Sus scrofa: one gene and its partners. The protein of the gene in region 3 purifies or fractionates together with the protein of the main gene of each other region. This does not show direct contact. Links are inferred from orthologs where the notes say so. Each region holds a gene or a part of one and is shown on either strand. Other genes may lie near its edges. The genes, in order: MAP1B, SAV1 and RASSF1.

Evidence for each region.
Region 1: the proteins of RASSF1 (region 3) and MAP1B purify together in Homo sapiens (affinity purification with mass spectrometry; 3 studies listed by BioGRID and IntAct, counting the BioPlex papers as one, with this or other methods). This does not show direct contact. The link is inferred for Sus scrofa from reciprocal best matches to the Homo sapiens genes RASSF1 and MAP1B.
Region 2: the proteins of RASSF1 (region 3) and SAV1 purify together in Homo sapiens (affinity purification with western blotting; 3 studies listed by BioGRID, with this or other methods). This does not show direct contact. The link is inferred for Sus scrofa from reciprocal best matches to the Homo sapiens genes RASSF1 and SAV1.

The regions. Positions count from the first base shown.
Region 1 is NC_010458.4:48,488,941-48,496,485, forward strand, and holds part of MAP1B (microtubule-associated protein 1B), read left to right. Parts: coding exon 1-3,165; intron 3,166-5,703; coding exon 5,704-5,942; intron 5,943-7,545. UniProt on the Homo sapiens protein: Facilitates tyrosination of alpha-tubulin in neuronal microtubules. Phosphorylated MAP1B is required for proper microtubule dynamics and plays a role in the cytoskeletal changes that accompany neuronal differentiation and neurite extension.
Region 2 is NC_010443.5:180,425,225-180,432,769, forward strand, and holds part of SAV1 (protein salvador homolog 1), read right to left. Parts: intron 6,370-7,545; coding exon 5,926-6,369; intron 1-5,925. UniProt on the Homo sapiens protein: Regulator of STK3/MST2 and STK4/MST1 in the Hippo signaling pathway which plays a pivotal role in organ size control and tumor suppression by restricting proliferation and promoting apoptosis.
Region 3 is NC_010455.5:32,819,995-32,828,263, forward strand, and holds the start of RASSF1 (ras association domain-containing protein 1), read right to left. Parts: upstream 5,371-8,269; 5' UTR 5,066-5,370; coding exon 4,816-5,065; intron 2,714-4,815; coding exon 2,607-2,713; exon of another isoform or gene 2,037-2,606; coding exon of another isoform or gene 1,884-2,036; intron 351-1,883; exon of another isoform or gene 1-350. Other genes in the region: ZMYND10 (zinc finger MYND domain-containing protein 10), read right to left, coding at 5,676-5,751, 5,840-5,965, 6,077-6,198, 6,281-6,406, 6,653-6,825, 7,521-7,621, 7,712-7,800, 7,912-8,049 and 1 more. UniProt on the Homo sapiens protein: Potential tumor suppressor. Required for death receptor-dependent apoptosis. Mediates activation of STK3/MST2 and STK4/MST1 during Fas-induced apoptosis by preventing their dephosphorylation.

The DNA of each region.
Region 1 (7,545 bases), on a different chromosome or scaffold from region 3:
CCAATGAGATTAAAGTCTCAGCAGAGGCGGAAGTAGCCCCAGTGTCTCCTGAGGTGACCCAAGAAGTCGTTGAAGAACATTGTGCCAGTCCTGAGGATAAGACCCTGGAAGTGGTGTCTCCATCTCAGTCTGTGACTGGCAGTGCTGGCCACACACCTTACTACCAGTCTCCCACTGAAGAGAAATCTGGTCACCTTCCCACAGAAGCCATTGAAAAACCAGCGGCAGTCCCAGTCAGCTTTGAATTCAGTGATGCCAAAGATGAGAGTGATAGGGCTTCCATAAGCCCCATGGATGAACCTGTGCCTGACTCAGAGTCTCCTATTGAGAAAGTTTTGTCTCCTTTACGGAGCCCACCGCTAATTGGATCCGAGTCTGCATATGAAAGTTTTCTAAGTGCCGACGACAAGGCTCCTGGTAGATACACAGAAAGCCCCTTTGAGGGAAAGAATGGAAAACAAGGCTCTCCAGACCAAATAAGTCCAGTTTCCGACACGACTTCCACTGGTCTTTTCCAAGACAAAGAGGAAGGGAAAAGCACAGACTTTATACCAATAAAGGAAGATTTTGATCAAGAAAAGAAAACTGACGATGTTGAGGAGCTGAGTTCTCAGTCAGGACTGGCTCTGGATGAAAGGAAGTTAGGAGATGTTTCTCCTACACAGATAGATGTCAGTCAGTTTGGATCTTTTAAGGAAGACACTAAGATGTCCATTTCTGAAGGCACTGTCTCAGACAAGTCAGCTACCCCTGTTGACGAGGGTGTGGCAGAAGACACATACTCTCACATGGAGGGAGTGGCCTCGGTCTCCACAGCTTCTGTGGCTACGAGCTCATTTCCAGAGCCAACAACAGATGACGTGTCCCCCTCGCTGCATGCGGAGGTCGGTTCCCCACATTCCACCGAAGTAGACGACTCCCTTTCAGTGTCTGTCGTGCAAACGCCCACCACTTTCCAGGAAACAGAAATGTCTCCATCTAAAGAAGAATGCCCCAGACCAATGTCAATTTCTCCGCCAGACTTCTCCCCTAAAACAGCCAAGTCTAGGACACCAGTTCAGGATCACCGATCTGAACAGTCCTCCATGTCTATTGAGTTTGGCCAGGAATCCCCTGAGCATTCTCTTGCTATGGACTTCAGCCGACAGTCTCCAGATCACCCTACAGTGGGTGCAGGTATGCTTCACATCACTGAAAATGGGCCAACGGAGGTGGACTATAGTCCTTCTGACATGCAGGACTCCAGTCTGTCACATAAGATCCCACCAACGGAAGAGCCGTCCTACACCCAAGATAATGATCTTTCTGAGCTCATCTCAGTATCCCAGGTCGAGGCTTCCCCATCCACCTCTTCCGCACACACCCCTTCTCAGATAGCTTCTCCTCTCCAAGAAGATACTCTATCCGATGTTGTTCCTCCCCGAGATATATCCTTATATGCCTCCCTCACCTCTGAAAAAGTGCAAAGTCTGGAAGGAGAGAAGCTCTCACCGAAATCCGACATCTCTCCACTCACGCCGAGGGAGTCCTCTCCTTTATATTCCCCGAGTTTTTCAGATTCTACCTCTGCAGTCAAGGAGAGCATTGCCGCTTGCCACGCTGCCTCTCCTCCACCGACGGATGCAGCATCCGCAGAGCCCTATGGCTTCCGTGCCTCGATGTTATTTGATACGATGCCACACCATCTAGCCTTGAGTAGAGATTTGGCCACATCGGTCATGGAGAAGGACAGTGGTGGGAAGACACCCGGCGACTTCAGCTATGCCTATCAGAAGCCGGAGATGACAACCAGGTCCCCAGACGAAGAGAGTTACGACTATGAGTCTTATGAGAAAACTACCCGGGGTGCAGATGTGAGTGGCTATTACTATGAGAAGACAGACAGCCCTGCCAAATCCCCATGTGACAGCGGCTACTCCTATGAGGCCATTGAGAAAACCACCAAGACTCCTGAAGAGGGGGGCTATGCCTACGAAATTACTGAAAAGGCCACACGGAGCCCCGAAGAGCCTGGGTACTCGTATGAGATAAGTGAGAAGACAGCAAGAACCCCTGAACTGAGTGGTTACAGCTACGAAAAGACTGAGAGGTCTAGAAGGCTCCTGGATGACATCAGCAATGGATATGATGACTCTGAAGAGGGTGGCCAGACACTTGGGGATTCCAGCTATTCTTATGAGACCACTGAGAAAGCTGCCAGTTTCCCTGAGTCTGAGAGTTACTCCTACGAGACCTCGACAGCCACTACACGAACCCCTGACACCTCTGCATACTGTTACGAGACTGCAGAGAAGATGGCTAGAACCCCCCAGGCGTCTACCTATTCCTACGAGACCTCAGACCCGTGCTACACCGCAGAAAAGAGGTCCCCCTCTGAGGCTCGCCAGGATGTTGACTTGTGCCTCGTGTCTTCCTGTGAGTACAAGCATCCCAAGACGGAGCTTTCGCCCTCCTTCATTAACCCCAATCCTCTCGAGTGGTTTGCCAGTGAAGAGCCAGCTGAAGACTCAGAGAAGCCCCTGACTCAAACAGGGGGAGCCCCCCCACCTCCTGGAGGAAAGCCCCAGGGCCGACAGTGTGATGAAACCCCTCCCACCTCAGTCAGCGAGTCCGCCCCGTCTCAGACCGACTCTGACGTGCCCCCGGAGACCGAAGAGTGCCCCTCCATCACAGCGGATGCGAATATCGACTCTGAAGATGAATCTGAAACCATCCCCACAGACAAAACCGTCACGTACAAACACATGGATCCACCTCCGGCTCCCATGCAGGACCGTAGCCCTTCCCCACGCCACCCTGATGTGTCCATGATGGACCCAGAGGCCTTGGCCATTGAGCAGAACCTGGGCAAAGCTCTGAAGAAAGATCTCAAAGAGAAGACCAAAACCAAAAAGCCAGGGACAAAGACCAAGTCGTCCTCACCTGTCAAGAAGGCCGATGGCAAGTCCAAGCCTTCTGCAGCTTCACCGAAGCCAGGGGCCTTGAAGGAATCCTCAGATAAGGTGTCCAGAGTGGCTTCTCCTAAGAAGAAAGAATCTGTGGAAAAAGCAACAAAAACTACCACCACCCCTGAGGTCAAAGCTACACGTGGGGAAGAGAAAGACAAGGAGACCAAGAATGCCGCCAACGCCTCCACATCCAAATCGGTAAAGACGGCAACCGCAGGTAGGTGGAAGGTGCTGGCATCCTGCTACAGGACATAATGAGTCTGCTTTTAGCTGCAGTCTCTGGGCTTCCATTTGACTTTGAACTAGGGACCTGAGAGAGCACACTTGGTGTGCTCCCTTCCCGTCACGGTTTTCTTCTGCCAGCAGGTATAGCTCTCAGGCCAGTGTAGCCCCTGGGCCTGGGATGGCTCGGCATATGGCCCACGGAAGCTGTGATTCTCCAGCTGTGACCCCTGGGCTTGCTCCCTTTTGCAACACAGCAACTATAGCCTTGTTCTGCATCTTCAGAACCAAGCATCTGTGTTTCAGGCTCCTCTACAAGATTCCGGAGGCATTGGCTTTTGCCATCCTGGCCCCAGAATCAAGCTGAGGTGCCAAAGGCCTAGGGAGAATCAGAGTTCCAAGACATGCCTGGAATAACTAGTGTGGGTCCAAGATTTAGGTTCCATTTTTTAAAAAATAAAAATATTTAAAAGTTACAACGTCTTGAAAATTGAAGAGTATACACTTTTTAATTAGGAAAAAATCATCAGGCTGGAGATACATCCTCATTAAAAATAATGCTCTGTTTTATCAACCAGCAAATTTACTGGACTAGTGGGTACCCAGTACAAGTCGAGAGAAAGGCATGAACCCCAACTAAAATTTGCTACCAAACTTGCCAAACATACACTTTAGCTCACACAACTGATTTAAAAAAATTTTTTTTGTCATTTAAAGAGATGACAAATTTTGAGGCCAAGTTAGTTGGTTTGAATTTACTTTGAAGATGCTTTCCCAATAGATTGCTGAGAAGACAAAATCACACTATTAATTAACTTTAAAACAAACCTTGGTCGACTTCTGCCATTTCCCTCAGTGTGGACCTCTATGGGCAATGTTCGTTTGGTGATGATGGGAGTGATTTAATATGCAAGGGGAAACTGCTGACATTTTTAATTATTAGAAGGAAGGTAAGTCACAAGCAGAATTCTCTGGAGACTTATACACGGCTATGTTGAGGGCTTCCAGCTTAGGTTCATTAAAACGCTGGTTAATCTAGTCATAAACTGAGTGAGTTTATCCAAATGTCAGTGTGGCTGATTCTCACCACTCTCCTACTCTCCTGAAAATAAAACTAGTCCGTTGATGGAATTCATTGCTGGTTTCAACTCTGGGATGACAGTCTCCCAGAGACTGTCCTACATCTCATGGAGAAAGGCAAGAAGATGAAATATATGGATCTAGCTAGTATTTTAAATGGCTTTACAGTGGTCTCAAAACAGATACACACCACCTGTTAGCTGGGGTGCTTTTAAAAAATGGTGGCTTGGAGTTCCCATTGTGGCGCAGAATCCAACTAGGAACCATGAGGTTGTGGGTTTGATCCCTGGCCTCACTCAGTGGGTTAAGGATCTGGTGTTGCCGTGAACTGTGATATAGGTTGTAGACGTGGCTTGGATCCCACGTTGCTGTGGCTGTGGTGTAGGCCGGCGGCTACAGCTCTGATTAGACTCCCTAGCCTGGGAACCTCCATGTGCTGAGGGTGTGGCCATAGAAAAGACCCCAAAAAAAAAAGGTGGTTCCCAGCTCCATGGAGCCAGACTCTGGGCGTGGGGCCTGGGCATTGGTATTAGGCATGCTGCATGATTCTGATCATGTGGCCAGGACGAAGAACCACTGCCTTAGAGTGCTCATTCTATTAATGTCTCAAAAAGCTTAAACCTTCCAATTAGAAAATGTCAAAAGCCAGCTCACCAGACAAGGTGCCAAAACACGGGGTTAATCTGAATCTTTACTTTGCCCAGGTATTCTGATTTAGACTGGGCATTTTGGCTGCCACAGGCCCCTTACCTCAGTTTGGTATGTCCTGTTTGGCTGGAGAAAGCCTAATCTTTCTGAACCTTCCTCTTGCCAAAGTTTGGTATCCGGTGTTGTCTACGGAGAGACGTTTCACATTTTTGAGTACGACCTAAGGAGAGAATACAGCATTTCGTCAGATCATGAATGAGGTTGAGGTGCTGAGGGCCTTGGAAATCCTATGATGTTAAGATCAGACCACTGGCTAGGTCGAACGTTACGGTATCACAATCAGCTCTGGGCAACATTGCTTTCAAATGAGATCTAACATAGATTCTTAAGATTGCTCGACTATGGTTTACCAAATGCAGGTGCTTTCTTTGGCTCTTTAAAATCTGGTTCGTAGACTACTTTTCAAATCCCACTGGGCATTAGTAGCTCTTTTGGGAGGAATGTTACCATCTAGTTCTATCTCAGGCAAGACCTTGAAACCCTTCTTACTTCCTAGTGGGTTGTCTGCAAAGGGAGACATCCCATCCTTCATTTCTCCTGTTGAGATGGAAAACAATCAGGTAATATTTTCTCAGCTTGCCAGTGTCAAATGCCCTCTGCAAGAGAAGGAAGTGCCCGGCACCCTCACCTCTACATAGCCTAGAGGACCTTCTTGGGAGTGAGGAGGGGAGGTGTACTGGACAGATGGGTCTCTTTGCATTCCTGTGACCCTGGCTTTTTTTCTCTTTTTGTTTCTTTCCTGAAGGACCTGGAACCACCAAGACATCCAAGCCCTCGGCAGTGCCTCCCGGCCCCCCTGTGTACTTGGACCTGTGCTATATTCCCAACCACAGCAATAGTAAGAACGTCGATGTTGAATTTTTCAAGAGAGTGAGGTCGTCCTACTACGTGGTGAGTGGGAATGACCCGGCTGCTGAGGAGCCCAGCCGGGCTGTCCTGGACGCCTTGTTGGAAGGGAAGGCTCAGTGGGGCAGCAACATGCAGGTAAGAGCTCCAGGACAGTGTCTGCACGGCACACGGAGCGGTGTCCAGAGGCAGAGGGTAGGAGGCCCGTTCAGTGAGACTTAGGACTGTGGATCACAGGAGGTAGATCTGCCACACCTGAAATAGCCTGAGGACAGAATGAGTTAACACACAAAAGATGGTCTGAAAGTATTCTTGTTAGCACCAACCACCACGGACTTGGCGGAAAGCCACATTACCTTCCTAAAGCATAATTCATTTCTCTGCAAAGTGGGCCCAAGACTACTTACCCTTCACCCTAATCTACCAAGAATATTAACCAGAGTAACCAAGTGGTAGGTAATATTCCCATGTAAGAGTGGATAAGTTAGCGTCTTTACTCCTTTGTCCTTCGCAAGTAGGCCAGAGCTAGGAATGTGGCCATTTAGAAAATAAGCTGTCCATGTGAGATTCTGCAGGGGGGCCACTGCTGAAAAAAGTGGTCCCCAGTAGGGCATGCCAGCTCCCAAACATCCTAACTGGCCACAAACCACTCTTACTTTAGCTGTGATTTCTGCTTATCTAAGTTTTATTATGGTTTATGTATAGTCATCTAGTAAACTGTGCATAGCATTAAATGGAAATACTCATTTCATCATATGAAACCTAATGAGAAGCACCCAGTGACCTCTTCCTGAATACTAGATGGAATTTTTGCTGTTCAAGCCCGTATCTATCCACCTACCCCTCCCACTCCATGTCCCCAGTCACACACACAAATTAAAGGCACAAATCTTGGGAGTTCCTGTTGTGGCTCAGCGGGTTAAGAACTTGACTGGTATCCATAAGGATATGGGTTCAACCCCTGACCTCGCCTGTGGGTTAAGGATCTGGTATTGCCACAAGCTGCAGTGTAGGTCATGGATGTGGCTGTGATGTAGGCCAGCAGCTGCCGCTCTGATTTGACTCCTAGCCTGGGAACCTCCATATGCTTTGGTGTGGCCCTTTAAAAAAAAAAAAAGAAAGATACAAATCTTTGTTCTCAGGATGAAATTAGTTACAAGCAATCAGTTTCAATAATAACTAAAGCACCTTGGATTAAATATGCAATATCTTTAATGTAAAACTGACCAGTTGTGTTAAAGGAAATACTTCTTTTAACACTAAGGAATTGAAAAACCAGTGACTATACAGATTGCCAGAAGACACATGAAAAGATGCTCAACACCGCTAATTATTAGAGAAATGCAAATCAAAATACAGTGAGGTATCACCTCACGCTAGTCAGAATGACATGGAAGCAACCTAAATGTCCATCAACAGAGGCCTGGGTAAAAGAGATGGGGTACGTACGCACAAAGGAGTATTACTCAATCATAAAAAAATGATGTCATGCCATTTGCGGCAAGATGAATGGACCTAGAAATACCAAACTAAATGATGTAAGACAGGACAAATGTCACATAAGATCACTATTATGTGGAAGCTAACAAAACATGATACAAAAGAACTTATAAAGATTCAAAGATTTTAAAACCAAATTCATGCTTACCAAAGGGGAAATGTGGGGCAGGAGGGATAAATTAGGGGGTTGTGACTGACATTTAATACACAGCACTGCACCTAAAATAGAGAGGAAACAAGA
Region 2 (7,545 bases), on a different chromosome or scaffold from region 3:
CACTCCTACAAAGAACATAAGTACTAACAATTATGAGTATCTATTCCGTCCACGGCCCTTTCCATATTTCATACTCAATCAGCTTTGTGAGGTGGTATCATTACCAATTTACAGATGAGTAAACAAAGGTTCAAGGAAGTTATTTTAGGAGTTCCTTCTGTGACACAGTGGGTTAAGAATCCGACTGCAGCAGCCTGGGTCGCTGTAGAGTTGAGATTTCAATCCTTGGCCCAGTACAGTGGGTTAAAGGATCCAGCACTGCCACAGCTGAGGTGTAGGTCACAGCTGAGGCTTGGAATGGATCCCTGGCCTGGAATTCCATATGCCACAGGTGCAGCCATTAATAAAAATAAAAAATACAAAAAAGTTATTCTAGGAGTTTCCACAGTGGTGCAGCAGAAATGAATCCGACTAGGAACCATGAGGTTGCAGGTTCGACCCCTGCCCTCGCTCAGTGGGTTAAGGATCAGGTGTTGCTGTGGCTGTGGTGTAGGCCAGCAGCTGTAGCTCCGATTAGACCCCTAGTCTGGGAACCTCCATATGCCGCAGGTGCAGCCCTAAAAAGACAAAAAAGTTATTCTACCAAAAGCCACACAGATGGTGTAAGACCACGTTACAAATTTATTACCTACCACGTAATCTTACCAGAAAAGGTCAAGTGTAATTCTTTAAAGAAAAATATGATTGCCACTAATAACAAGAGATCTATAAATTCTGAACTCAATAAGAAAAATGAGAACTTATTTCTGAGCTACAAGGAAAAATACAGTTTTCCATAATTTCAGTTAGTCCCAGAAAAGAATGAGTGGCATTTATAAACTTTAAATTAACTCCCATTTGAGAATTAACTGCAAAGCACCTTCCACTTAAATTAAAACATTAATAAGCTAAATACCTGATTTCGCAAAGACACAGATGAAAGTATTACTTTGTCTTTCTGCTAAGCTTTCACTAGATATGCTTCCGAAGAACTAACGTTATAAAACTGGGCAGGTATCTACAAGGTCCACCCTTACAGACAACTCAAAAATTCTGGTTTACCAATGTTTTAGTGGCTACAGAAAATAAAATGGAATATGGAACTCAAATAAAGGCTACAAGCTCCAGGGTAATACTAAACATGTTTAGTGTCCATGTTATAATCAAGATGCTGACAAAAAGATATAAGGATTAAACAAAGCCAACTGCCTTCTTTCCTCCTCTTCAAAATAATAACAAAGTTGTGCCCCTAAGGATTAGTAACACTCAAAAAAAAAATTCTGGTTAACTATATTTTTTTCAAATTATAGCTGACTTACAAAGTTGTGCTAATTTCTGTTGTACAGCAGAGTGACTCAGTCATACATATATACATACATACACACACACACACACACACACATTCTTTCTTTAAAAATACTGTTTTCCATCACGGTCTATCCTAGGAGATTGGATATAGGTCCCCAGCAGGACTTTATTGTCTACCCATTTTAAATGTAATAGTTTGCATCTACTAACCCCAAATTTCCAGTCCATCCCACTCCCTCCCCCTCCCCCTTGGCAACCACAGATCTGTTCTCCTGGTTAACTAAATATTCATGCATTTCCTGGAGTAAACACAACTCCAGTATTTTTTAGGACTTTCGATTTTTATAACTTGATTTCTTTAGCCATCTTTAAAAATAAAAATTAAAAGTTTGTTACTTGAAATTGCACAAAACCAAATTACTTAGGTGCAAAACAAAGGAATTCAATCTGCCTTTAGTATTCCAACTAAAGACTTCCTTCCTGTTAACAGAATTCCTTCCTTTGGCACATACAGTAAGTGCCTCACTGGTATGTAGGCCAAAATGTTAAAGGTCAAATTTCACAGCTAAATGTAGAACTTGCTAGGCCCTAAAATCCTTTAGGATATTATACAACTTGTTTTTTTGGTACTTCTGCTAAAATAGTAAGATGAAATTAACCCTTGAGACAAGGTGTTTCCTAAAAGCCTAAGTGACAACTCATTGACAGGCTCTACTACTCTCAAGTCATCACAAAACTATTTTCTTCCACACCTTTTTTGATGCTTATTACATTAGTAACAGCAATCAAAATTTAAACCTTGTGAAAATAAATGTGTCCTCAGCACATCCTCATTCTCCCACAAACTTACCTTCTTTCCATTCATTCATGTTCCTTAACTCTTTACAGCATAAATCTTGAAAATTTAATAAGTTTCAAGTCTTTTCAAGATGAATTTAAGAAACTTCCAGCTATTTTCTCATATTCAGATTTTTCCCTCCTGGAAATAATAGCTGTTAGGCTTTTCTGTTTAGTTAATAATTGGTTTTTAGTCCTCCCCTGCCACTTAGGAGCCTCCTAGAAAAAAGTATTTTTTTTTTTTCTGAAAGGCATTAATCTTATTGCCCTGATATAAACTAATGTTAAGTGAAATTTCTCAAACATGTATAACTGCCATAATAAAAGCAAGTGTTTTTTAAAATGATACTCTTGAATTTGTAAAAGTATCCAATTAACTTCTATTTTATTTACTTCTAAAACATGTTTGGAGAGGGAGTTCCCATCAGGGCTCAGTGGTTAACAAATCCAACTAGGAACCATGAGGTTGTGGGTTCGATCCCTGGCCTCGCTCAGTTGGGTTAAGTATGCTCAGTTGGGTTAAGTAAGTTGGGTTAAGTATCCGGCGTTGCCGTGAGCTGTGGTGTAGGTTGCAGACACGGCTCAGATCCCATGTTGCTGTGGCTCTGGTGTAGGCCAGCGACTACAGCTTCGATTGGACCCCTAGCCTGGGAACTTCCATATGCCCCCGGTTCAGCCCTAGAAAAGGCAAAAAGACAAAAAATAAAACATGATTGGAGAAAGTTATTTTTTTAAAGTCTGTCATTAGGAGTTCTTGCTGGGTTAAGGATCTGACTGCAATGGCTTGGGATGCCATGGAAGCTCAAGTTTGATCCTTGGCCTGGTGCAGCGGGTTAAGAATCCAGTGTTGCCAGAGCTGAGAAGAAATAAGTCACAGCTGTGGCTCAGATTAAATCCTTGGCCCGGTGGATTCCATATGGCACAGGTATGGCAAAAATAAAATAAAATAAAATAAAGTATGTTATTTAAATTATAAAAGCTATGTCAGGAATTTCCGTTGTGGCTCAGCAATAACGAACCCAACTAGTATCCATGAGGATGCAGGTTCCGTCCCTGGCCTTGATCAGTAGGTTAAGGATCAAGCCTCAGCTGTGGTTGTGGTGTAGACCTGTAGCCTGGGAACTTCTATATGCTATGGATATGGCCCTAAAAAGACAAAAACACAAAAACTACGTCAAACTGCATAAGCAGGGTTCTAAGAGAGGATCAGTAGAAATTTAGTTTTTACAATATTTCCTCAATGATATTTTGTGAATCAGGATTTTTTTTTTTTTTTTGCCTTTTTCTTATGGCCGTACCCGTGGTATATGGAGGTTTCCAGGCTAGGGGTCCAATTGGAGCCGTAGCTGCCGGCCTACACCACAGCCACAGCCACGCAGGATCCGAGGCATGTCTTCAAGCTACACCACAGCTCATGGCAACGCCGGATCCTTAACCCACTGAGAGAGGCCAGGGATCGAATAGTTGTCTTCATGAATGCTAGTCGGATTCATTAACTGCTGAGCCACAACGGGAACTACAACGAATCAGGATTTTAACACAAGATTTTATCTTGGTGTCATTAAATCTGCATACTTCAGGTATAAAAGTGTCATAAGCTATCAGTGATGTTTGGAATATAAACAATCGGTATTAATGGCAAACACTGTTATAAGCTATTATTCCCGATACTCTTCAGCTACCAAAATTGTCTTAAGACTCCAAACTTGAAATCTGTGGATCCATTCACTTACTCAACCATTTGTTTTTAGAGTACCTCCTATATAGCCAGGTGCTTTGGTAATCCTATCTGACTCTTCTCTTTCTCTCATCCCTCAATCCCCATTAGTGGTCAAGGCCCATTAATGCAGATGTGTCTCACTTCCCCCCTTTCCAAACATCCCCAGCCTGATAGGTCATTTAAAATATTACCCATCAAATGTGTACTGAATGGAAGATCACTGAAAGTACTTATAAATAGTGTATAACAGTAAGAAACTCATTCATATAAAAAGGCAGGGATATGAAAATGGACAAACTATAATCACAGTTTTAAAAAGAATGCCATGGAAAAAGATGAAAGAAATAACTAAATACATCTTGTTAAAATATATAAAAATGAACTTGTGTGTGTGTGTGTGTGTGTGTGTCTTTTTGCCTTTTCTAGGGCTGCTCTCGAGGCATATGGCGGTTCCCAGGCTAGGGGTTGAATCGGAGCTGTAGCTGCCAGCCTACGCCACAGCATTGCAGGATCTGAGCCGTGTCTGCAACCTACACCACAGCTCACAGCAACACCGGATCCTCAACCCACTGAGCAAGGCCAGGGATCAAACCGGCAACCTCATGGTTCCTAGTCGGATTCATTAACCACTGAGCCACAAGGGGAACCCCCAAAATGAACTTTATTTTTAAAACTTACTATTCTGATTAGAAAACAAATTATTTCAGTTTAAAAATACATGATTACTAGAAACAGCCAAAATACACAATAAAGTATCCAACTATCTAATCCTTTAACCTAGAAGTTCTTTAAAAACAAAAAAGACACGCACCTATTCTCATGACAGTACTTCTATATGCCTCTAGACATTTTATGTTATGTATTCATAGACTTCTAGATGAATCTCTTCTCTTCAATGTCCCAATGAGACTTGAATGTCAGCTTTCACAAAATAAGCTACTCTTGCCAACTACTCCATACTTTTAATTTTCAAAACTTCAGTGATTTACTTTCTCCCAAACCCATAATTAGGTCTCATTTTTCCTTCAAAAGTATCATAGATTTGCACTTTCCTCTCCACTGCAGTCCTCTTTTCTCTAGCAATCTATCTTAACTGGTAAGCTAATCTTGAAATAGTCCTTTCATAAAATGAACATCTTGTCCTTTTGAAATCTTCAATGGCCTCTGCTTGACTCAAATTTAAATCCTGCAAGCTCTTGCTGCACCACTAATCTCCATTTCACCTTACAACTTATTTCTCCAAACTATGCAGAAGTGCACAACTCCTTGGATTTATATCATCTCTGCTCTTTTCACTGGCCTAATCCTAATTTTCTAACTAAAATGTTCTTCCCATGTCCCCTGTCATTCTAAAGTCTAAGCTAAAAGCAAAAGCAAAGTTCAGGACCAACCTCTTCCACAAACCATTCTCCAAGTATTCTAGCCTACCCCGATCTCTTTCTCTTCTGACTCTTTACTGCACTTAACAGTCAATACCACAAAGTTTAATGACTACCTGTTTTTTGATCATCTTGAATATATTAGTTTCATCCTCCCAAATAGGTCCCAGAAGGCAGATACTACCAAGAGGGTCGGGGAAAATGCTAGACACATAAATGACTACTACGAAAACAGTTCTGTTAAAAGAAACAGTGCCAGTTCTAGCTAAGTAATGATGTAGTTGCCCATGGTGTCACCCATCATGCCCAATTCTTCCTATTTGCCTTTCTTTTCCCAGGTTGAGGTCCAGTTTCTCTGAAATCCTAACCTTCCCATTTTACCAAATCTAAACCTAGACGCAGTCCAACTATAGACATTAAAATCTCTAGGTTTTCCAGCTTCGAAATGTTAACAGTCTACATAGCCTTTAGCTACGTACCAAGCTTTTATAAAATAAGGTAATTAAATGGCTTAATAGACATGAAATTCCTTCCCTCAGTTCAGATTAATAATTATTTGCAAACTGACTTAGCAAATTGGCAAAATGTAGAAGTAGTTCTTTAGGAGTATCTGTTGCCTTCCCAAGAAAATCCAGAAAAGAACATTTTTTTAATGAGGTGTTAATAAATCAAACTCACGTAGTATTTATAATTTTAAGTTACCTGAAGCATGCCTCCCCTGATTTTGTGGCACTCTTTGGAAGAGATCGTGGTTGTAGTCATAATATCTATAGTCTTCATGTGTGCGATCTCCAAGCTGGCGCCTCCTCTGACCATCAAAATAATTATCGGAATAATAATATCGGGAACCAGAGTCTCCATTTTCAACAGCAAAATTAACTTCTGTTAAAAATGACTGAGAAGAGCCATATTCCCTAGGGACATCTGCTAGACTCCTGGCAAGATAAGAAGGTGCAGATAATCTGTTGCTTTCTCTTCTCATTATTTCATGAGGTGTTCTTTGAATTGGAGTTCTAAGGAAACTCTGGTTTCTTGAAACTATTCCATCTCCAGAAGCTGAAAAGGCATTAGAGCTGGAATCTGGAAGACAGATATCAGTTCGTCTTGGAATTGTGGGACCGTGCCGGATGAATGAAGGCATGAGATCTATGACAAAACAAAGGGTAAAAGGACCAATAAGTAATGCACTTTTCAGAAGTTGTTCATTTACATGTATCACCCCAAAATGAAAAACTTCAACAGATTTAAGAAAACATAATTAAAAATTTTAGGACAGTATTTGGGTATTTTAAAATTGAGGCTGGAGTTCCCACGTAACTCAGAGGGTTAAGGATCCAACGGTGGCTCTGGTTACAGCTGTGACACAAGTTCAGTCCCTGGCCAGGGAATTTGCACGTCATGAGCGTGGCCAAAAATAAAATTTGAGCTGACATCTTTCCACCCGAGTGAATTTATAATTTGTATGAATGTGTTATGTGTAAGCTCTGCCAGAATCAAATGTATTTTGCATCTTACCATACATAACATGATGAAATGTCAATAAGTTTAACTATTAAATATGTTATTAATGAAATACTCATGAAATGTATAAAAACAGTAAACAATCTAACAAATGGATACACAGTTACCAGCATAAGTTAACATTTTAGTGTGTTTTGTTGATTTTTCTTCATTTTCAAAATTCCTCAAATCCTTCAAGCAAACACAATTTAGAAAAAAGAAAACAAAATAATTTATAATTCTATTCGCAAACACATAAAAGTGATTTCCTTTAAAAAGATTTTAAAATGAATAACCTGGCCTTCCTACTTGTCGAATTGTGTAGCAGTAGTACATAAAAAGCTGTAATCAAAAAGTAGTAATCAAAAGCTGGAAAAGCTAACAATTTAGCTACAAAAATTAAAAAATAAAAAGATCTCATTTCAAAAAGGCACACAAATGTCGGATCTGTTCAAGAAAATGCCAAGACTGAAACTACGGCTCCTTTAAGAACAATTATAATTCAAAACAGAAGATAACAGAAGAACAATGGCTTTAAGGATACAGTACTTCTGAATACAGAATTTAATAGCTTAGGCATTCCCGGTTAGAAAGCAAATACCTTTAAAACAAGAAGAAAACTGGATTTGGCGACCGTTTTATAAGTTCATTAAGTAAACTATCAGAGAGCACTCACATTAATAAGCAACAGAAGCTAACTCTAGACAAAAATTAATATCAGAATAAACAAGGCTCAACATTTGATAAAACCAAAATATAAAATACTCTATCAAGTTATTTACTTAAAAGGCAAATATATCTCATTATTTCAAGTAATGTTCA
Region 3 (8,269 bases):
TGGTGTGGGCCCTGAAAATAAGGCATCTGGGGGTAAGAGGAAGGCTAGAGGCTGGGAATAAAGGGTGGTGTTGTTTGTTAAGACCCAAGGAGAGATGTGATGGGAAGGAGTGCCAGTGCCAGGAGAAAGTTGAGCAGACTCTAGTGCTAGGGCAACAAAGAAGAGAATTCTACTTACAGAGCAGGGTGATCAAAGGGATAACACTATCTTATCCCCCTTCCTTGTGATGGCTCTGAGCTCTAGCCTGGATCCTTCCTCTTCCCTTCCTGGGTTATCCAGGAACCCTGAGCTGGATGCAGTGACCTCAGTTCCAGCCCTTTCTCTTCTCAGGTGGATCTCCCTCCGCATCTCTACTCATAAAACAAAGGACTTGGACTGGAGGCATTTCAGTGGAGGATTTCAGCAGCTATCCCAGAGGGATACACAACAGGATCATGCAACTTCCCTTCTGCACTGTAGCCACCCACCACTCTCTGCCACTGCCCAGAGTAACTGATGGTTTTATTTTATTTTTTTAGTCTTTTTTTTTTTTTTTTTCCTAGGGCCGCACTCATGGCATATGGAGGTTCCCAGGCTAGGGGTCCAATTGGAGCTGCAGCTGCCGGCCTACGCCAGAGCCACAGCAATGGCAGATCTGAGCCACGTCTTCGACCCACACCACAGCACACGGCAACCCCAGATCCCCAGCCCACTGAGCAAGGCCAAGGATCAAATCCGAAACCTTGTGGTTCCTAGTCGGATTCGTTAACCACTGAGCCATGACCGGAACTCCTGATGGTCTTATTTTACATACAACTTGGGATTCCCCAGCCTCCTTTTCAATTGCCTGGTGTGATGTGATTTTCTCACCTTTCCACAAAGGAAAATGTCTCAGGCCAGAGTGACACAGTCCCAGGGATCCACACTCAAACCTTGCACCCTAACTCTGGGCTGAGTATTTGAGGTACAAAATTTTCATCTAACGAATTATCTACAACTCCCTCTTCTTGGCTCACATAAGGAATTCTGCCCCCATTGCTGCCAGGTATTAGTTTAGTAACTTCACTTCGTGGTACCCATCACTCTTTCCTGATGCCTTGGCCAGGGTGCTTCTCTGAGATGTATCAGCTCCAGAACTGTTATTTGAACCCAGTGGTCACACTGACGTCACAGAGCATAGAGGTCTCCGATAAGGGGGACAACTGGGAGATTGTGAGAGGCACAGCTGTTCCGGCACCACACCTTAGTCCTGGATTAGTAACTCCTATTTCTCTTGGCCACTCTCAATCTAACTTTCCTTACTTCTTGTGGATAAAGTGCTCTTGGATGCTTACAGTCCAAAATAAAACTTCCTTCCCATCCATCCCCAAATCCCCTTTCTCTAGGTCTGCTCTAATTTCAGTAGATGTGCTGCCCAAGCGAGCACTCCTGATACACTTCAGAGGAAGGAGCATCAGAATCTTTCACATTCCAGCAGCTGGTAACAGGCCAAGAGGTGGGGACTAAATTGGCTCAATTCAGGAGGGCAAATGGAGGGGCCCAGACCCTCTGCTGGTCTCCCAAATACACTTCTCAATTCCGGGCGATCCCCAGAGCGAGGGTGGGAAATGGGAGGAGCGCCAGCCCGCGGAAATCAAGGTGTTAGTCCAGACTGCGCAGTGAGCCTCAGTAATGGGTGGGTAACGCCCGTCCCCCGTCTACCCCAAACTACTTAGCTGCCACCTCTGGTACCAACACGCTGAAAGCCCAACACACGGTTCAGAGGGCTGGCCAGGGTCGAATCCCGGATCCACGTTGACGGGAGGGCGGAGCTGCCCACAAAGTGCCGACACCTCAACTTACCGGGGAAGGGCGAGGTCCCAGCGCCCGCCCGCAGCCCGCCTCCTACAACCCCTGGCCCCCACCTGGTCCCGGCGCGGCCTCCGAGCCAGCGAGGTACGCGCGGTGAAGTACTGCTCGAGCTCTGAGTCCGAGTCCTCCTGGCTGCAGTAGCCACTGCTTGTCGTGCTGCTCCAGGTCATCTCGAAAGAAGGCGTCCCCGCGTCCGCCTCACCCATCGCCGCGCCCGACAGCCAGCCCCCGTGTCCCGGTAGCCTCCAACCACCGCCCCAGGCGCGTGTGCGCACGCGCGCCCATGTATGTGTGCGCGTGCGCCGGAACCTGTATCCGCACCGCAACCGTTAACACTGAAACGTAGACAGCCAGGATCTAGCTCTCATGTCATTGGAGGAGGAATGTCGAAGGGCGGGACCACAGAGGCCACGCCTCCAGGAGCGATATCTTCGCCAGTGCAGCGCAGCTCAACTCTGCCTCACAGGCCTCACTTCCCACCAGGAACTAGTCCGAGAGTGTGCGCATGTGCACCAGCGTGGCCACAAGACCGGATGCAGATGTGGAAAGGTGTGGAAATTGCGCTTGCGCGGAGCCTGGGCGGCTCCTGGTGGACAGCGCCTAGTCAACACCCGGTGTACCCCTTCGAGTCCTCGCACAGAGTTAGCTTCTCTGCTACGGAGAAGTTACAACGTTCCTTGCGCGTAGCGCCGGACGGCTTTAAGGAACGCCTGCAATGTGCCCCGCTTGTCTGTTCCTCCCTGCCTTGCCCATAAACTCCCCTGCCCCGTGCTCACCACGTTCGTATCCCGTTCCAGCGCCGGTTCCCAGCCCAGGTCCCGGGGCCCGCAGCAGTCTAGGCAGACAAGCGCGCGGCAACGGTAGTGGCAGGTGAACTTGCAATCTGCAGAGAGGTCTGGTCGTGAGGCGGAAAAACCCCAGCAGCAGCTTGGAGAAGCGTCCCAGGGACAGAAGGGAAGCCTCGGTGTGAAGGCCTTTGCTCTCTGTGCTCTGCATGACCTGCCTCATCTCCGGCCCCGTTACCGCCCCACTGCTACACAGATTTTCAGTGTTGGTCCCCGGGGGATGGGGGTGGGGGCGGGGGCGCCTGAAAACTGGCGGGGGCGCCTGAAGGCCTCACGCGTTAGGTTAGGCCTGCTTAGCAGTTGGATTCCTAGCGCTTAGGACAGAACTTTCCCCTTCCTTATTATCAGTGCCCCTCCCTCCGCCCATTTATTTGAAGGGGAAAAAAATAAAAAAATTTTTAACCCAATGCTCTCTACCCTCTCGGTGTCATTTGTACTCCCCTGGCACCAAAAGCTTACCAACATTGGTCTACAAACACTTAATTCCTCGCCTTCACCCTTTACCCATCCCAGTTAGGCTTGCCTCTTCCTCCAGACACGGCACTGTTCAGGGTTGTTAGCGACCTGTGCATTACCAAATCCAGTGGGCCCTTCTCCATCTTCGCCTCCTCAGCATTGTCTGATGCTTGCTCTCCTTGATCCCCACCCCGGGGAGGGGGTGCTACCCTGGTTTTCCTCCCACCTCTCTACAGCTCCTGCTGTTTCAACTTCCAGATTTAGTGGAGTGTCAAAGGCTCAGTCCTGGTCATTTCCCTGCTCTGTGTACACTGACCTACCCGAGATCCAAGGCTTCCCTCACTGACTCCAACCCCATCAAATCCCATGTGTCAGTTTCTTCGTTTGGATGTTTTATAGATATCTCAACCCAACGTGACCAAAATTTAACTCACTTTCCTACCCTTTAAAACTCACTTTTCCTCACTCTTACCCTTGCCAGAGCTTCTCATCTCAGCAAAAATTTCCCAGTTGTTTGAGGCAAAAAAATCACCCTAACTCATCCTTAATTCCTCCCTTGTTTCTGCCTCTGACACACATCCAAATTTTCCTGTTTTTCAATTTCATATTCACTTTATTTCTACTTGGGAACAGTGCTAATGTCCCAGCCCTTGTTCATGCTTTGCATTCTGTAACAACTCCTGTGCTCCTCCCAGCTGAATTCAGGACAAACTCCTGTACCTGATGAGGCTATCCTTGGACACACAGGCCTGGGACAGCTTCCCTAAGTTCCTAAATGGGCCAGAGCACTGATTCACAACCCAGGCTGCACATTAGAATGATCTGTCTTTAAAAATCGCTGATAACACTCTCGTGATCGATTCAACAGGTCTCAGGTAGGATTCAAGCATAGAGGTTTGGAGGACTGTAAAAGCATACTAAGTGTATAGCCAGGGGGGAGAGCAACCTCTTATTGCTGGTGGTTCCTGGAGGGCAGAAGCATCAGCTGGTGTGTGGACGCTCCTATTTTTTTTTTTAAGGGCCGCACCCACGGCATAGGGAAGTTCCTGGGCTAGGGGTCTAATTTGAGCTGCAGCTGCCGGCCTACACTACAGCCACAGCAATGCAGGATCTAGGCCACATCTTCGACGTATACCACAGCTCATGGCAATGCCGGATCCTTAACCCACTGAGCAAGACCAGGGATCGAACCCATGTCCTCATGGATACTAGTCAGATGAGATACCGCTGAGCCACAAGGAGAACTTCAACAAAAACTCTTGCTTGCAGGGGGCCTACCCAAGGGTCTAACTTTTTCAAGGCCTTCTCCCATTGTCGGGTAAATTCTCTTCACCCCAGGAATTCTGGAGGGGGACTTGGTGAGTGAATCTTTGTAAGGGGCAGGTGTGGGAATATGAACTCAAAGACTGGTGGGTACAAAGCCTTTTTCAAGAAGGATCAAGGCACTTTTTAAACTTGAAAGCAGCACCTTGTTATTCACAGGCAACCACTGCTGCCTATGTCCCATATGCAGGTGGCACGCTTGTAAGATATCAAGGTTATAACCCATCTGCCTGCACTGTCTTAGGCTATTTGGCAAAAGTAAACTACCTGGTCTGTGGTCCCCACTGACCCCCTCCGTAGCAACTTGGCCTTCAGCTTGGCCACCCGTTTCACTCTCGCCAATGCCCCGGGCGCTACTCACGTGCGCACTGCAGGCCCTTGCGCACGACGCCCCAGATGAAGTCACCACAGAGGTCGCACCACGTGTGCGTGGCGGGCCCCGCAGGCTGGAAGCGGTGGCCTCGGCCCGGGACCAGCTGCCTTGCGTTGTTGCGCGCTGTGCCCGGAGCAATGCGCAGCGCGTTGGCACGCTCCAGCCGGGTGCGGACCGGGGCGGCGCACCGAGCGGGTGCCAGTTCCCGCAGCTCAATGAGCTCGGGCTCAGCGGACATGTCCCGGTCCGGCCGGGACTCCTGCTGGCTCTGGGCGCCGAGCGAGCTCCCGACGGGCGGGGCCGCGGGGCGGGCCCCCGATGCGGCGCCGCCTCCGGGGTTCAGGCAGAGCGGCGGGAGAGCAAAAGAGCGCGGCGCCAGGGATACCCAGCACCCAGGCTGCGTCTGCCCTCCCGCAGGAGAAGTGGAGCCCGGAGGGCGCTGCACGGGTGCTGCTGTCGCGGAGTCCCCGCCCTCCTACCTCCCTTCATCCCTCGAGCTACTCCCCTCCCCCTAACAACCACGACGACCACGCGGAAAACAGGCGTCTTTATGGAAACCAGCTTTACTTTACTTACTGAAGGAAGAGGGTCCCCACATCCGGTTCTCACCCCCACAACCCCGCCCAGGGCCTCTCTCCCCAGCTTGCTGAGGCTGCACCCTAAGCCGGGTGGGGCAGGAAGTGGGGATGGCTTTGCTGGGGAAGATGGGTCAGCAGCACTTCCCTCCTGCTGTCTTCCTCATCTGGGAGGCTGGGGCACTTGCAGAGGCCAGGCCGAGATCCAGAGGTTCAGGGGTACACTCTAGTGGATTGTATGGCATGGTGGTTGGCCCTCAGCAGCTGCATCCTTCACTTGGCTCTGTCACCTTGGGCTGCCACAACACAAGACTTTCCATGTTTTTCCCAGTGCTTGACTTGGCACTCCCTGCAGGCAAGTGGGCCAGTAAAGATTCAGTGTTTGTGAGGGGTATGGAAGTGGGATTTAGGGATCCAAGATCCTAGGATACCCTCACCTGCAGCAGTACCACTCATTCTGGCATCGTGAGCAGCGCTTGGAGGCCTCTGCACTGCAGTAAGCACAGCGGGGTCGCTCTGGAGCCACTGCCTCCAGCACGTCCAGTCTGTAGGTCTCAGCCCACCTGGGAAAAGGGTCAGAAGGACTTGACTGGACCTGTGGGTGGGGGGACAGGAGCAGCCCTGCCCACATCCATGCCTTCTGCATCTCTTCCACCCCTTCCAGCAGGCCTCACCTTTGTGCTTGCAGCCTCAGGTCCTGCTCTGAGGTGCTGAATATATGCTGCAGCTGGTGCTTGGCAATAGCCTGCCACTTGCCTTTGTTCTCTTGCTCTAGCCGCTCCCAGATTTCTGGGATCTGGGGAAGAGAAATGGAGAGTAGCAGGGAGGAGCTGGCAAAGTGGGCAGTGGTCCCGAGCAACTAACTTTCTAGTGCCTACCTGTTCCAACACCAGGTCTTTCTTAGGGGGCTGGGCTTCGGCCAGGGCCAGGTGGGCTAGGAAACCCTGCAGGTCTGCCAGGTTGGGCATCTGGTCCAGCAGCGTGTCTGTGAGGAATGCCTGAAGCTGCAAGGGTTTCCAGGGAGGCCAGTGTGAAGCAGTGCTGACCAGAAGGTCAAGGAACAGAGAGACCCTGGGCTGGGTTGGACTAAGGATGCCCGTGGGACCCACATCCCATTAGCTTCTGTGTGTGTCACCTGAGGCCCAAGTTCTGGAGAGAGGCCTAGGGTTGAGGCAGGTGGGTAAAAATAAACAGGGGTGGGGTGGGGCAGGGCTAGGGGGCTGTGGGGCTGATATGGGAGGAGTTCCTACCTTGAGTAGCTGTCCTTTAGCAAAGCTGGTGAGGCAATAGTGGGCTCGGGCCTCGGGGCTTAGCAGCAGGTTGTACAGGGCAATCCACACCTGCCCATCCAACTTGCTCAGTTTTTGCTGCTCTGATGGGGGCACTGTCTGCCAACGGCCACTCTCAAATTGCTGCAGCTTGCCTGGGGAGAGGAACCAGCATACTGGGTACAAACATCGCATGCTCTTTGAGTGAGCCAGCTGCGTGGGCTGGGAGACTGACCACTGCCTGGGCACAGGACTTGCCCAGGCTGGGGTGCTGCTTGCTTTAGAGCAGGGTGAGTTCTTTGCCTGCTGCAGAGAACAGGCCTAGGTCCAATTTGTTTTTTTTTGGGGGGGATGTACCTATGGCATGCAGAAGTTCCCAGACCAGGGATCAAACTTGCGCTACAGCAGTGACCAGAGCCACAGTAGTGAAAATGCCATATATATATATTTTTTAATACTTTTTTTCCTTTTTATGGCCATACCTGTGGCCTATGGAAGCTCCCAGGCTAGGGGTTGAATCAGAGCTGTAGCTGCTGGCCTACACTACAGCCATGACAATACTGGATCCTTAACCCACTAAGTGAGGCCAGGGATTGCACCTGCATCCTCATGGATACTATGTTCGGTTCTTTACCCTCTGAGCCACAACGGAAACTCTGAAAATGCCAGATTTTTAACTGCTAGGCCACTAGGGAACTCCCTAGGCCCACTTTAGGTGAGGCATTCTGGTATTCTCTGTGGGCAAGGGGGCAGAGTTTGTCTGCTTGTGTGCAAGCTGCCCCCCTGTCAATCCTGGAGGATGTCCTGGAAGCAGTGGGCTGGGGCTTAGGCAGATGGAAGAGGACCTTACCTCCTTCCTGCCGGCTCCAGGGACTATGCTCCAGCAATTCCACCAGGAGACAGGGTAGGTTGTGGGTGCTGAGCATGCGGCTCAAGGTGCTCAGGGAAAGGCTAGGGACAGAGATAGAAAGGTAAGGAGAAACTACAAGCCCAGGCTCCCAGCCCTCCATTTCAGGCCCCAGACCTGGTAGGGCTGCCCACCTGTCCACACAGTCTGTAATGTAGCGCAGCACCGAGAGGGCCTTCAGTGCAATCTCAAATTCCATCAGCTCTGCCTGCTTTTGTAGTTCCTGAGTTGGGGGGTGGGACACACGGCGTTCAAGGTGGGCCATCTTCTTGCCTGCTTAGACCTGGGGGAGCCTGGGTCTAGCCCTTGCCAATCCTAGGGAACCTCAGCCCACCTGCATGGGGGTGCTGTACTGGGACTCCTCTTCCTCTGAGGGGCCATCATGGCCACAATGGGCCACCAACAAAGTTAGTTTGCGGTGGCAGTAGTCCACAAGGTCCAAGACAGTGTCCTCTGCTGATTCACACACCTCCTGGGGGTCAGGAGGAGGGGAACATTCTGTCTCTGATGCCCTTCCCACACAGATACAACCCCCCTTGCTGCCAGGCTCTGGCCTGGGGCAGTAGCCAGTGGGCAGGGCGGGTGCCTCACCTTGTGGAAGAACACTGTCTCCAGGAGGTTGATGATGGAGGCTTCGTGGTGTATCTGTCAGTTAAAGAGGAGAACAGGACCCTGGGCTGCTGGAAGAGGGA